Linked DNA regions of Medicago truncatula. The protein of the gene in region 1 binds, or shares a complex with, the protein of each later gene. Links are inferred from orthologs where the notes say so. Each region holds a gene or a part of one and is shown on either strand. Other genes may lie near its edges.

The links.
Region 2: protein SUPPRESSOR OF FRI 4 (region 1) and protein FLC EXPRESSOR share a complex: the UniProt entries of both Arabidopsis thaliana proteins name them as parts of the transcription activator complex. The link is inferred for Medicago truncatula from reciprocal best matches to the Arabidopsis thaliana genes SUF4 and AT2G30120.

Annotation. Positions count from the first base shown.
Region 1 is NC_053049.1:48,998,021-49,006,124, reverse strand, and holds the start of protein SUPPRESSOR OF FRI 4, read left to right. Parts: upstream 1-4,790; 5' UTR 4,791-4,957; coding exon 4,958-5,151; intron 5,152-5,768; coding exon 5,769-5,869; intron 5,870-7,160; coding exon 7,161-7,287; intron 7,288-7,444; coding exon 7,445-7,866; intron 7,867-8,033; coding exon 8,034-8,104. UniProt on the Arabidopsis thaliana protein: Sequence-specific DNA binding factor that recognizes the 5'-CCAAATTTTAAGTTT-3' sequence. Recruits the FRI-C complex to the FLC promoter. Required for FRI-mediated FLC activation, but has no effect on the expression of MAF1, MAF2, MAF3, MAF5, UFC and CO.
Region 2 is NC_053046.1:32,260,142-32,268,069, forward strand, and holds the start of protein FLC EXPRESSOR, read left to right. Parts: upstream 1-4,791; 5' UTR 4,792-4,910; coding exon 4,911-5,431; intron 5,432-7,928. UniProt on the Arabidopsis thaliana protein: Transactivator required for FRIGIDA-mediated activation of FLC and for the expression of the repressors of flowering AGL27/MAF1 and AGL31/MAF2. Does not alter expression of known activators of FLC expression.

The DNA.
Region 1 (8,104 bases):
CCTTTATTTAATTAGTGTCCTCCTTTAATTCTAAATTTGTGAAACTATGATGGCCGTGCATATAAATGTATACTTTAATTTAGATTAGATTATTCATAAGCTCCCATTAGATTAGATTATGATGGCCATTAATTTGCCGAAAGTTACACCACGGTCTTTAATCTTTTATGATGCATTCCATATCTCTTTCTATCTATTAAAGGAGTTCAACTTTGCTCCATTTAAGTTTGCTCGATTTACCACATTTACTATTATGGATGTCTGACATGTGGTAAAATAGAAACCAAGGGTTGAAAAAAGCAATTGTTTTATAAAAAACAAGGCTACGTGCTTCTTTTTCATACCAACTGCACTCATGACCCTTCTTCTTCCTCCTCTCACCATCATCACTCTCGTGCTTCTCTCTCCCTCTTGCTGGCGCCGGCACTGCCCTTTCCGTTCATACAACAATAAATCCGAAATTGTAAATCATTAATAAATTGTTCTAATCCAAAGATGAATACTTAGAATCATATTGATCCCAGAAAAATCAATCATGAAAGTAAAATTAATCTCCATATTTGTTAACTAAAACTAAAAAAGCTACAACAAATATATAACGTGTGACTAAAATTTACAATTTCAGTGGCATTTTTGTTGATTTCTCAATTTCACCCAACATCAACATATAATTTCAGGAATCAAAACGAGGTTTCATCCTAAAATTTTGTTCATATTTAAAGAAACAGTAATATAATTTAAGATTTTCCCCCAACCAACAACCTCCACCTTTGATCGAAATTAAGAAGCACGGAAGTGATATGGTGAGAGGAGGAAGAAGAAGGGTCATGAGTGCAGTTGGTATTGAAAGAAGAAGAAGAAGCGCGTAGCTTGTTTTTGATAAAACAAATGATTTTTTCAACCCTTTTAATCTCAACCCTTGATTTTCTATTTTGCCACATGTCACACATCCATGATGGTAAATAGGATGAATGGAGCAAAGATGGACTCCTATTAAAAACAGAACAATATTATTAGAGTGCGTTGCTAGTAGTTGCAATCAAACATGGTATAATAATACTATTATAATTACTAATACAATCTTGAATTATATGTACAATGTCATGTTCTGTTCACTTATTTTATATGGCTTTAGTGTCAACATATGCGTTTGATATGCATATTACTAGATCCAATTTGTGAATGAAGAGAGTTTCTACGATGCAGTTATGAAACTGACTTTTTTGAAAAAGTTAATTTTAATTTTAATGTTTGATTCATTTTTAAATTGTTGGTTACTGATTAATGATCAATAGTAATTCATCTAGTAATGCTTGCAATATCTTGGACTTATCGGTACTATTTTATCGTTGACATCTTTAACATGGAAACAAAGTTGCTGATATCATTTGATAGTCTTAAGTGTTACACTTTGTGGGGACAACACTTAAAACAAGGTAGGATAAAAATTAGATTAAGTGTATTATTGTTAATCTGATAAATTGATGATACTATGACGATTGAACTTTTGATGTCATTGTGCAAACAGTGGGGATCACTCACAAAATACTTTTAATGTTATAGTGTTAACTTCACCAAAAAAGTTATTCTTATAATTTCACCGTAGAATTTTCCCATGAATTAATATGGGATTCAGCTCCTTTAGGTGTAATAACAATTAACAGTAAACATGGGAACTCATGTTTGGAAGCCGGTCGTAGTAACAGAGGATTGTTGGTTTGGTTGATGAGTATTACTGCCGCCAAAGTATCATAATTAAGATGCTAATTCTAAAACTAACTAAAGGTAAAATTGAAAATGACAAAAAAACAGTTTATACTTCTTCTATATTGGAATGCGTGTAATCAGCAAAGCAAGAAAGAAATCACAAATGAGTAAATAGTCAATTTCTCTGAAATTGTAGATTTCATCAATTACTCTTATGAAATTAACAAAACTTCAATTACCTTCATGAAATTGCATAACGTTAATCAATTTACCCCCTCCGTCAAATTTTTCTGTTAACTGTTTACGGTTATGATCAAATACACCCCTGAAATTTTGCACTTATGTGCAAAATGCCCCTAAACTTAAAAATTTATATTTTTTTTTATCCTTGACTCAAAAGATATTAAAGGCAAACAAATTAACAATTATTGATCATATAACTATGTATGGAATGTATGTTTATGCAGCTATTGGTCATATAAATCTTTATGGAAGATATGTTACTCTCATGTGTTTTAAATATATACATATATAGAAGACTTTTTTTTTATACAAGTTGGTAATTATGTTATAGTATGTAGTCATAAAGTACACAAGTCTTTGATAATTGTGTCTCCATATGTTAATATCTGCAGAAGGAAGAAGAAACAAGACTTGTTGATAAATATGAAATATGAATGAAAATGCTGCACATGACAAAACCATGATTTCTTTGGCATATATTCATTCATTTTCTTGTGAATAGAATTTTTATGACATTAGGTATAATATATTACTTGAAGAACTAAATGTATGATTTTTGGTAAGAAAAAAATTCTAAATTTTTAAGTTTAGGGGGCATTTTGCATATAAGTGCAAAATTTCAGGGGGGGTATTTGATCATAATCGTAAACAGTTAACAGAAAAATTTGACGGAGGGGTAAATTGATTAACGTTATGCAATTTCAGAGGGGTGATTGATGTTTTGTTAATTTCGGAGGGGGGGGGGGTAATTGATGAAACTTACAATTTCAGGGGGGAAATTGACTATTTGCTTAATCACAAATTATGCATTTCTCTTTTTACAATGGTTAAGTATATACTCCTTCTACAAAAAAAAATATATGCTTTTTTTTTCATATGATTTTATTCTCTAAATAAATAATTGTATCTGGATCACTCGTGAATAGAAAAATACATAGAAAAAACCAAACAATTGGCTTAATTAATTAATAAGTTCCATTAAGAACGAATTGTTCAAGAGAACTTAAGTTTGATTCTTGAATGAAACAATTTTTTACCATACTTTCCTTATCTATCGGCCGAACTCCTTGAGATTCAGAGGATTAACACAAAAGAAGAAAATACATGGCAATGAAGGTGACAAATTTTAGCATATGGTTTGAATAGAAACATTAGCAACCTAGGTCATGCGGGCTTCATCATTTCTGGTTGTTTAAGGTTGAAAGAAAGAAAAAAGTTTGAAAGCCCAACATTGTCGCAGTTCTTTCAATATAATCAAGAAATTGGTTCAAAGTACCCCTTTATTTGCTCTTAGGCCCCTCAAAATGCTAATAACACTCCCTTTTAGAGTTACGATTCAAACCATTCGAGCTATAAATCCCTCTCACTCAAGTTACAATCCAAACAACATCAAAGTTTTCATTGATTTGAAATCAAACATTATTGAGACTTCCATTTATGTGAAACCACGCATTGTTGAGACTTTTGTTGATGTCAAACCAAATGTTGAGATTTCCGTTGACGTGAAACCAAATGTTGATTACAAGAGAGAAGATTGTTAAGCTCGTTGTTTCTAAACTTGTTGATAATGAAGTTGATACGGTGAAATACCTTTTTTTTACCAAAGTGAAATATAAACTTAGAGATAATTTGATTAATTAGACTTGTCGTCAAGCATCAATAGTCGAATGTACTTTAATTATATAAAAACTTCATCATGGTGGTGGATGAAGAGTGCGAAATTTAGTACAGGGTTGTAAAAAGGTTGATGTGTACCAAGGAACCAAAAAGAAGTTAAAACGTGAAGTCACAAGTCAGTAAAAAGTGAATTTACATTTATGTCATTTAGTATTGTTAATGTAGTACACAAGCATCCAATGAGACAAGGTAAGAATGTCACCTTCTTGCAGGCAGTTTAATCAAGGAAGAAAATGAGAGTGTCATTGACATGGGCAGGAGTACGGTATACCAAATAATATCCTAGTGACTTGAAAGATAAAATAAAAAGCTATGTAATGTTTATAAAGTAAGTTTACAATGCACGTCAAAGGTATAAAAAGTCCATAAGAGTTGAAATGTTAAAAATGCAATATCTATTGAAACGTTTGGTCGATCACAATTATGTTTACCGGTTTAAATCTTTTGGTGAGTTTACAACTATTTATGATATTTTTTGGGCTCATCATGTATCTGCTAATTTGTTTAGTATTTTTCACATTGTTTTCTTAATGGATTCCACTTATAAAATCAGTCGCTATAAAAGTAATTATTTGAGATAGCTGAGGTAACCTCAATTTAATTAACATATTATGTTGGTTTTGATTTCTGACGTACAAAAAAAAAAATCCACTCATGCTCTACAAACTTGTCTCGATCTTTCGAAGTCTAAAAACAATATGTCAAAAGTTATTGTGATTGACAAGGATGACACACAAAAATGACTCACGTTGTTAGTATCTTCCCTTAATCTACTACTTTAATGTGTTGGTATCATATTTCAAAAAACGTGAGAGCAAGATGCAAAGATAAATTACAAAGTCAAATATTTTGATGTCAAAGAGGATGATTTTGAAAAGGTGGATGTCGAAAAGAATGATGCCAAAGAGATGAAATTGATAAGAGTTATGTAACACCATCATAAAAGTGTGAGAAAAATGAAACGATGTCTATTACATTAACTAAGGGATTAAAATCAATTTTTTTTAGGGGAAAATCAAAATCTTATTCTATATTTTTAGGGACGAATAAAAATATATAAGATTCTTATTCAGCCTCAAGACTATCCACAATTACATAAATAACCACACGTGCGTATAATAATCCATAATTATGACCCACCCAAACACAAGGGTATTTTTATATGTAAAAAATAAAAGAAGAGAAAAAACAAAGTTACGATTAAGAACCCTAGCCTAGGTCTTCTTCTTCTTCTTCTTCTTCTTCTTCATCCTCCATCGCAGTAGCAGCATAGGGTGGTTGAACGGAATCGGAATCTCTAAACCCTAGCGGCATCTTTATCTGAATTTCGATGGGGAGGAAGAAGAAGCGCGTTGCTTCAAAGGTATGGTGTTATTACTGCGATCGTGAATTCGATGACGAGAAGATCTTGGTTCAGCATCAGAAAGCCAAGCACTTTAAGTGTCACGTTTGTCATAAGAAGCTTTCCACTGCTGGTGGCATGTCCATTCACGTTCTTCAGGTCCACAAAGAAAACGTCACCAAGTATATTCTCTTTTCTCTTTCATCATTTTAGGGTTTTCAATTTCACTTTTTTATTTTATTTTATGTAATTTGATCTCTGTCTTACGAGTTTCCCTCATTCTATGCTATGATTTGTAGTTACATTTCAAAGAATGTTTCCAAGTGTGATTTATTCATTGCTAATTATCTATTCATGTGTGAATTCAATTTACTATTTAGGTTCAATTTGGATAAACAACTTAATTAAATGCTTATAGCATTAAAGTTTATCTTATAAGTGCTTACTTATAAGCTATTTCTATCGCAAAAGATTAAATAATGTCAGAACGATTTTCATATAAGCTATAAGCTGGTTTTATAAGCTATACTAGAGAGTTTATGGAAATAAGATGATAAAAGCTGATACATGTCATAAATCATTTTCATAAGCTCTCCTAAGCAGTTTTACAAGTGCTTATACCAGTAGATAAGCTCAGATAAGACAATTAAAGCAGACCCTAGTAACAAAGAGGGGGGTTGTTTGCTTTGTTAGTCAAGCATTTGACTGACCCTTGATGTACAAACTTAATTATGTTTGAGTGAATGCTCTCCTTAAAATATTAATGTACTAGATTTTACTGAACTCTTAATTATTTCAGGGTGCCAAATGCGAAACCTGGAAGAGAGAGTACAGAAATTGAAATATACGGAATGCAGGGGATTCCGCCAGATGTCTTGGCTGCTCATTATGGAGATGAAGGTTACACTATACTCTGTCTCATTGTTTTTTCTCCTTGTTTCATAGTTCTTATTGATAGTTTATACTCGAGACACCTTAATAACTACTACAAGTACAAACAAGACACCTTAATAACTACTACAAGTACAAACAAATCTGATTTTTTACCTCTGTTTAATGATTCCATTGTAGTGTCAGAAATAGTAGGGATGCAGGGAAGGAGGCCCCTGCATAACTGTAACAGATGTAATGTAACTGCTTATTAACCGTAGTAAGTTAATTAGTTATCTGCAGGGTGGGTATTATAAACGGTAGCAGATATATAGGAGTTAGGGGGTGGACAAACGGTTGGATCCAGTCGGTAAACCACCATTTAGAGAAATCCGCCGGCCGGAAAATCTCAGCCCATTTATTTTCGCGGATAGGTTGGGTGGCGGGTTCTAACGAAAGCGGGTGGGATGAAATGGATAGCAGAACAAGAAGGAGAAGAAGGGGGCTACTTAGATTTTGGCCGTCGGTGCCGACACAGTTGCATATATCCACGGCCAAGTTCTGCCTTAGTTTACAACTTTACATGGGTTAAATAAAAGAAAAAAGACAAAAATGCATATTTATTTACAGTTTCCAAGTTGCAGTTATTATGAGACTGGGTCTTGTTTCAAAAAAAAAAATGAGATTGGGTCTCAAGACTAATACTCTGAATTAGTATCGACTTGTCGCATCACTGTCTTGTAATTTAAATAAAGAATCAGTATATGTATACAGCGAACATGGTAGCGGTCAGTTTCTCATGGATTTATTTTGAACAGACGAACTCGACCTATTCTAACCCTTGCATAACCGAAAAACTGAACAGATGACCTGGTCTGCTCATATTTTCATTCGATTTTTCCGGTTTGGGTTGGGGTTCGGTTTTTTGTTCAACCCTAACAGGACTAGGCATTGAAATTGATCATTAATCTGGGGATTTAGTTTATGTTGATTCAATAAAAGAATTCTAATCCTAATTTAGGTGGGCTAATTTAGCTTCTTCAAAAAAAAAAAATTCTAATCTCTCTTGTTTTCTGACACTATTCTACCGAATACCTGACATGTATGGTGGCTGTTGTTTTATGTATTATTCTGTTTTGTTGGTATTATTGACGTCAGGAGCGTTTTTGTACAATTTATTATTTAGGATAAAGGCTTTGTACAAGTATTGTTAGTGATGATAAAAATGTTGAATCATACTTAAAATTCCTTTTTTTTTTTTTTTTTTTTTGTTTCACGAGAAATTGTTTAATATTCTCTGACAGTTTTGTATGTATTGCAGACGATGATGTTCCATCAAAGACAGCCAAGGTGGACATCCCATCAACCCCATTTGCAGGTGGAATGGTGCCACCTCCTATGGGTACCGGATATCCTCCACGATCAACCATGGGCCCAATTCGACCAATGTATGCTGTTAAACATTTTTTTCATTTTGATTTTCTCATTCGAATTCTTATTCTATTTGGAACGTGGTAGAAGTGATATATTCGTGAATATTTTTCTATTTAGAAAATTATCAGTGACACAAAATCTGCTCATTTACTTATCTCTCTGCTGCTGCAGATATAATCCTGCTGTACCAGGCCCTCCTAATGCTTGGGGAGTTGTTCCACCTCGACCTCAGCCATGGTTTCCCCAGCCTCCAACTGTTTCAATGCCTCCTCCGGTTCAATACCCACAGCAACCATTATTTCCTGTTCAGAATGTGAGGCCTCCATTGCCATCAACTACTTCACCTGCACTACAATCTCAGATTACTCCTCCTGGACTGCCTTCATCTACACCTCCTGTCCCAGTTTCACAGCCTTTGTTTCCTGTTGTTGGGAACAACCACATGGCCACTCAAAGTTCACCATTTTCCGCTGCACCCATGTCTTCAAGTGTACCATCAATAACTCCTGGGCTTTCTTCAAATGTTCCTATTGACGCACATTTGGGCATCAACTCTTCTGTGACAAGTAGTTATCAAGCAATAGGGATTCCAGGTAACGTTTTATTTTCTTTCCTTGAACCACTGTGACTGGTTTTTTGACACAACTGAATGTGTTTGATGTAGTAAAAAACTTGGAACTAAAAATTTAGTGTTTCCATCTCAGTTGATCTTATATGATTCATGTGATTTTCATTTTCTTGTTCCTCTGGTTTCTTATAGGTGGGATAGCAAGTAACTCGCATTCTTATGCTTCTGGTCCAAATACCGGTGGTCCTTCAATTGGACCTCCA
Region 2 (7,928 bases), on another chromosome or scaffold:
GCAAATACATCAAGCATCCAATCATCTGCCTGTACTGAGTAGAGTCCACAACTTTTCCCTTTTCATCTCTTGACAGCTTGTTTCAAGGGACTATGGGGTTCAATACTTTGTTGCAATTTTCCATACCAAATCTAGATAGAATTTCATTTGCGTATTTCTGCTGATGAATGAATATTCCTCTATCCATCTGCTTGACTTCCACACCAAGAAAATACCTCATCTTGCCCAGATCTGTCATGGAAAATTTATTTTCCATAGAATGTTTGAACTCTTCAAACACTTCTTCATCATTTCAAGTGTAGATTAAGTCATCTACATACAAACTTACGGTAAGTATTTTTCCTCCAGTTTCTTGCCTAACAAACAAAGTATAGTTCTATTAGTGTCCCATCTGGTTACAGGAGCAAAAACTTCATTGTAATCAACTCCATACTTTTGAGAGTACCCCTTTGCTACTAATCTGGCTTTGTGTTTTTCAACTTTACCATTTTCATTGTATTTTGTCTTATAAATCCATTTTACACTAATCTTCCTGCTTCCAGTTGGTATCATTTCTTTCTATGGCTTCAATTTCCTGATCCATAGCCTCTTTCCAACAATTGAACTTTGCAGCTTCCTCATAAGTAGCAGGATCTTCTCTATTACTGAAAAAGCCAGAGTCTGAAAACTGCTTTCTTCTTCTTCTGCTTCTCTTCCTAAGATATAGTCTCTGCTCCATACAGGAGGTTTTCTGATTCTACCAGTTTCATCTTCTTCTTCATTGCATAACTTGTTAGTTGTTACAAATAAAAAAATAAATAAACATCACAACATCAAAGCTGCATCGAACTGTACGTTCATATTCCCATGCATAATATTAGAGAACTAGTAGAAGATATAGTAGAATCAACCGTAAATTTAAACCACAGAGTGTCTCATTTTTTTAATAAAAGTAAACAAATTTAAGCTTTTCAGTCTTATCATATAAAATATTTAATTACTAAAATATTGCGTGTATATACACTTACGACTTGAAACAGAGAAAAATAATGATGTGATATTTTGGTAGCCGAAAGATGGGAATCTGGATATACCAGAAAATAGGTAGAGCGTGTCAAATTTAAGAGACAAAGATGTGAACAAACGTTGAAGGGAAGAAGTGGAATATGATAAACTGGTTTGTGATTTGTGTCAATTTTGATCCCCTTACTTATATTCTTTTAAGGATTTTATTCACCTATTTTGAAATTTGATAGTTTTAATTCCTCAATCAAATGTTTGGTTTAAAATATGATAATATGATATGTTTTAAATAAAATTTTTAAACAACTTTTTTTTTATAACGTCATCAATTTTTTTCTTCCTATCATCGAATCATAAACCACGTTATTAATTTTTTTAGTTAAAAAAATATGATGAAGGGACAAAAAAAATTATCAGATTTTTAAATAGGGAGACTGAATTTGTAAAATGATGAAAATATTATGATCAAAACTACAATTAAATTAAGGGAGCTCTACGGTCATGAAACTGACTTTTTTTAAAAAAGTTAATTTTAATTTTAATGTTTGATTCATTTTTAAATTGTGGATTACTGATTAATGATTAATAGTAACTCATCTAGTAATACTTGCAGCATCTTGAACTTATAGATACTATTTTATTGTTGACATCTTTAACATGCAAACAAAGTTGCTGATATCATGTGATAGTCTTAAGTGTTACACTTTGTGAGGTGTTACACTTAAAACAAAGTAGGATAAAATTAGATTAAGTGTATTCTTGTTAATCTGATGAATTGATGATACTATGAGGACTGAACTTTTGATGTCATTGTATAAATAGTGGGGTGTTACTCACAACACTTTTGATGTTATAGTGTTAACTTCACCAGATAAATCATTCTCATGACTTCATTGTAGAATTTTCCTTAAATTAAAGGGGAAATCGACGAAGCATTTCTCTCGCACAAAAAAAAAAAACGACTAAGCATATAGATGACCGGTTAGTATTTGAGTAAATGCTAGTTTTATCTTTCATCTATTTTCTTTATTACCACCTTACCTATGTTTACCAAGTATGGTAAGTGGTTTCTTATTTCGTCAAATTTCGTTAGAATGCATGGGGTATGGACTCTTACCTAGCTTAGTTAGTTTCAATCAAATTAAAAGAAACTAACCAAGTTTTTTTTTTTTTAGAAACCAACCAAGTTGAGGTAGTCTTGTTCGCAAAACAAAATTGAGTGGTCTCTCAATTTTGAAAACGAATTCAGAGATTCAAGATGATCATATATAATAAGTGGATTGCAAATTGTTAAAGGAATCATAATAATTAAGATATAAGGGTAACATTTTTGTATCCACCTCAACAGAGAAGGACAAATAGAAAGATTTGAAGCTCTTTTATTCTTCCTCTCTCACTGAAATAGCTAGCTTTGATTCAATGTGAAAGCAAACCTGCACATGCAACGTTACTACATCTGTTTTCCTTGAAAACCATAACATACCTTTTATTTTCTCACTTTTCCACGAAATCCACCATTTCATCCATCATAACCCAATACCCACACCTAGATTTTACTACTACATGCCCTCAATATTCTCAACGGACAACTTAATTAACTTTTTTCTACCATTAATTAAATCATTAAATCATTTATGCTTGTGTATCACTATCCTCGAATTGAATCACAAATCCCTAAATCCTAAATTCAATCCCCAAATTCCTAAATCTCAAATTCCTAAATGTCATACAATTCTCTATTTTGTTCAAAATCAAATCTTGCATTAAACGCCAAAATCGAATTACATGATGTTGAGTGTTGGTGCAATTTGGGGATTTAGGGATTTGAGGATTGAATTCAGGATTTAGAGATTAAAGATTCAATTTGGGATATGATCTTCGATTTCAGGGACCAAAGTTACCATACCATTTTCTACTTTTACTTTAGTTCTTGTGATACATCATATGTCATGTCAGCATAAAACATTTGTCACGTCATCGGTTAACAGAATTATTTAATGTTAGGGACTAAAGTGATAACAGAAATGCACATTCAATGATTACTTTGTATTTAATCTTGAGTCAGAGATCTGTGCAGAGTCAGTTACAAAGTGACCATTTACTCTAATAATAAACATGACATCTAATTTGGATATAAAACTATGAACATTAGCTAAATCTAAAGGTAAAACTAACTCCCACCCCAACTACCTAAACACATGATACTACACCTGACATAATAAACCTAAACATACGATACTACACCTGATCTAAAAAAGACGTCTAACAAAAAGGTGATAAATTGATGTTTATTAAATTATTTTTACAAAGGAGGTGTTTTTTTTTATTCGCCAAGGGAGGTGCTAATGTGTTGGGTTTAATTTATATGCATCATCGGTGTACTCAAATTTTACAAATGTTGTCACGTTATTTGATGAGGTATGACGAGTCATGTCTTTTTGACTCGTTAAACAAAGTCACAACATATTATCGGATTTTTTTTTTGTGGTGTTCAAGGTTCGAACCCCGGATCTTGCATATATTGTGCACTGTCCTTGCTAATTGAGCTAAGCTCACGTGAACACAACATATTATCAGATGATGCATCTGTAAAATTTTGTAAACATCACCAATAATGTTTTAGGCAATTAATCCCCTCAAATTGTAAGTTTCGGCAATTACCACCCTAACGTTAACAAAACTTCAATTACCCCTATGAAATTGTACAATGTTAATCAATTTACATCATCCGTCAAATTCTTCTGTTAGTCAATATCATGTTTTGCATATCCCCCTGAAGTTTTGCACTTATGTGCGAAATGCCCCCCGAACTTGATTTTTTTTCTTATACTTAACTCAAAAGATATTAAAGACAAACAATTAACATAGTGGTAAATATTCTTGTAAAAAATGTATAATATATTTTTCAGCTTAGCTACATATTTAAATTGATATGTTTTGTTTTATAAATAGAATAGATAATATTTTTTTAACCAATGATTAGATGAAATTATTTCTAATGGTTTTAGTCTGCAATACTTATCTGATTGTGAAAATTATATCAAGTAACAATATACACTATTATCATTTAGCAATATAATTCATTACCATGTGGCATCATCCACTATTTTGAAATCACATAGATATGAAAGAATGAAATGAATAGTAAATAAATACACCTCTTAGATTAAGCAATAGTCTCATAAATCTTGCTTTAGCTTTGGATTAAAATTGGAGATGCATTAGTTTGTCAGCAAAATTAGAAATTCATTTCACATATTGTTGGGTTTTGGGAGTTTTCTTGTGTCTCATTGTTGTTGTTTATCTTCTTGTTTCATTCTTGCACATCTTGTGTCTCATTGTGCTTGGCTGTGGTTTTAATAGTATAAGTATATTTTGCCTTTGCAACAAAAAAAAGTAGTAGGTAAGTAAATGTTAAGGGACTGAAGTTGAGCCTATTAAGTAGATCATGATAATATTGAAACATAAGAATGAAATAGAAAATCATTAGTGCAGAAGAAACAGCTATTCAGTTTCATTAAAGTTAAATGATAATTATTTACTTTTAATATCTTGAGTGAAGTATAAGAAGTAAAAAAATATAAATTTTCAAATTCGGAGACATTTTGCAAAGTGTCAAAATTTCAAGGGTATTTACAAAACGTTATGTTGACTAAACGAATAATTTGACGGAGGGATAAATTGATTAATTGTGCAATTTCAAAAGTAATTGATGTTTTGTTAATGCGAGAGAGAAATGATTGACGAAAGTAACGATTTCGAGAGGGTAATTGGTATTTACTCGGGAAAAATTATGTAAACCATTTGAATTGAAAGGGAATGAAATAACGAAATTTCTCCGTAGCAGTGAAGCCTGAAACCAGAGTCACTCCTCTAATCCATTCTTCCCCGTCCGTGTAAAACTACAAATGGCAGGACGCAAACATCACCACCACCATAATCTTCACTCTTCTCTCTCCCGCCGCGACGAGCCACGTCTCTCTCATTCCTCCTCCTCCTCCACCTCAACCACCGCCCTCGAAGACCGCATCACCACCCGCCACCGCGAAATCCAAACCCTCCTCCACGACAACCAACGTCTCGCCACAACTCACCTCGCCTTAAAACAAGACCTCACCGCCACTCAACAAGAGCTTCGTCAGCTCTCCGCCGCTGCCGCCGATGTCAAAGCCGAACGAGACGCCGAGGTCCGTCGGATCTACGAGAAATCGCTTAAGATGGATGCTGAGGTACGTGCCGTTGCGGCGATGAAGTCTGATCTTGATCAGGTAAGGGCTGATGTAAGGGAACTTGCGGAGGTAAGGAAGGAGCTTGTGGAACATTTGCAGAGTGTTCAGAGTGAGCTTGCTTTGGCAAGGGAAGATTTGAAGCCATTGCCGATTATTAAAGTTGATATTGAAGCTTTGCGCCATGAGATTCAACGAGGAAGGTAAAATTTTCGTTGTGTTAGTGCTGTTATTGGCTTTGAATTGATATTGAATCGAATCATATGCGAATGTGAATGTGAATGTGAGGGAGAACTTGCTTTGTTAGTGTTGTGATGTGAGAACAATTGTTAATTTTTTTTTTGCGCATTGGTGGCATGTAGAAAGAATGAGTTTCAAAAAAGAATTGAAGCACAAAAGTTGAAGCTTTTAGATTTTGATTGTTGAATGTATTTGGGTTTTTGTTTGTTTCAGTTCTCAAGTAGCGGTTATTGTGTTCCAAAATATGAACAAATCCCTATTGTTTAGCAATATGATATCTAGTACAAAGTGTTGTTAGATAGCGGCTATAGTTGCCCTAGTGTAGTAGAATTTGATTGAGCTGCTATTTTTTGTAATCCACTATTGTCAACATTGGTTGGACCGGCATATCCTTTATAAACTTACTCGGTCCTTACATAGCCATGATACATAGGCCCAATGCTGAGGTATACAGGCCCATTACCGAAATAGATAATATCAATACCGACATAGACTTGTGTCCCAGGGAGAGACTAAGTCATACCAGCACATAAGCAAGTGCTGTTTGCTCAATCAAGCAGCAACGATCACGGATAATACTGGGGTGAGTGGCAATTGCAGTTATCCGAGATCAAGGGCCATGACAGGGTCCTTAAGCAAACCCTAACCCATTCACCTTTTACCACGCAAGCAGTTTTCTCAGACCTTGATCACGGTACATCACCGGCAAGGTAGCCCTCACGTGATCAAGCATGAACATTGGTGATTTTGAGTATGTATAAATTTTGGACAATTCACTCTTGAGGTGCATCAGACTAAAGACTAAACAAGATTAATGAAGTATTTTTGTAACTAATTTTATTTTAGTAATTAGCTATGAATCACCAACACAAACAGGAACACCAAACGACACCACTGACATGTAGTCTGTAGAGATGATATTATTTTATTAAATAGAAGTGATTGAATGTATCTACTTGTGTCGGACACCAAACTCACCTTTAATCTAAACTATGCGTGTTATATATAGTTCAGGAAAAATCTTGGTCTAGATGGTGACATGAATATGCTATGAGGAATGATACCATTTTTAATGATGGTAAATTTGCTATGACTAATATACTAAACCTTATTAAATCCCAGACTTGGTTATGTATTAAAGTGAAGGTTGAGGATCCTTTATTGTCTTTCTCATGTTGGTGCATGAATCCAATATCTTGTATTCTTCAGTGTTGTCAACCTTATTAAATCCCAGACCTGGTTATGTATTAAAGTAAAGGTTGAGGATCTTTTATTACCTTTCTCATGTTGGTGCATGAATCCAATATATTGTATTCTTCAGTGTTGTCAAATTGCGGCTATAGCGTGTTGGAATATGAACAAACCGCTATTGTTTTTCAATACTCTATTTTGTACAAAGTGGTGTCAAGTAGCGGCACTATAGCACTGTAGCCTAGCGGAATTTGAACAAATCACTATTTTCCGCAATCTGCGTTTGATAACATTGGTATTTTTCAATTTGTTTTGTAAGATGGGTTGCTTGGATTGGGTTTTCTGTAAATTAAAGTGCTGGGTGGTTTTTTGTGGTCTGGATGGTTGTATCTGAGTGGTCCATAGAATTGCAGGTGGTTTCGGCCACGTAAAACTTTAAGTATTTGCTACTGTGGGATGACTTCTGGTGTTTCTCGTGTTTATTTTCCATGTAGACCAATGGTGTGACTTGATATCCCAGTATAGTTGGTGTCTGTAGGGCTATAACATTTATAGTGGTGTCTTTACTTGGCTAGTTTTGCATTGTTTGTTGTCACTTTAGCTTGTGGGGGATTGTGTTCTGTTGAGCTGCACCCTTTTGTATTATTTTGCCCTGGTCTGTGGCACTTGTGCTCAGTTTTTTCAAAACTCAACGAATTCATTTGCTTACCGAAAGAAACCATACAAAATGATGGGGAATTAATGGGAGAGGTAAACCATTCAAGCTGGATGAAATAAAGGAGCGCTCTGAGAAGACCTATTTAAATTCTAGAGAAGAGAGTAGTTCACATGAAGGTTTGTTGAATAGTTAGAGGGAGAGGTAAACCAATGAAAACTGTAGACTAAATTAATTTGCTTGTTTCATTCACATTGTTAGAATCATGACCGAGTCTTGATTCATTTATCTGATTACTGGTTGAAGTTATTCACTTTGTCTTATTTTAATACTATCAAATTGAAAAACTATTGTACCCCCTTAAATGACGGACCAGTTCATGTGAAAAACTATTCTTATGTTATGACTTGTTAAGTCTGTGGAAGCATGTCTGATTTATATCTCAATGCTATTTGTGCTATTTGTTTACCCTGATTTCTAATATAGAAGTCTGCAGTTGGTTCTGTTGCTTATCAAACTCTAACCAAAATAACATTTAATTTGAACATCTAGATGTTGTAAATGCGCTCCTCCCAAATATACCTGCTGTTTTTTCTTGTTACATTTTTGGAGCA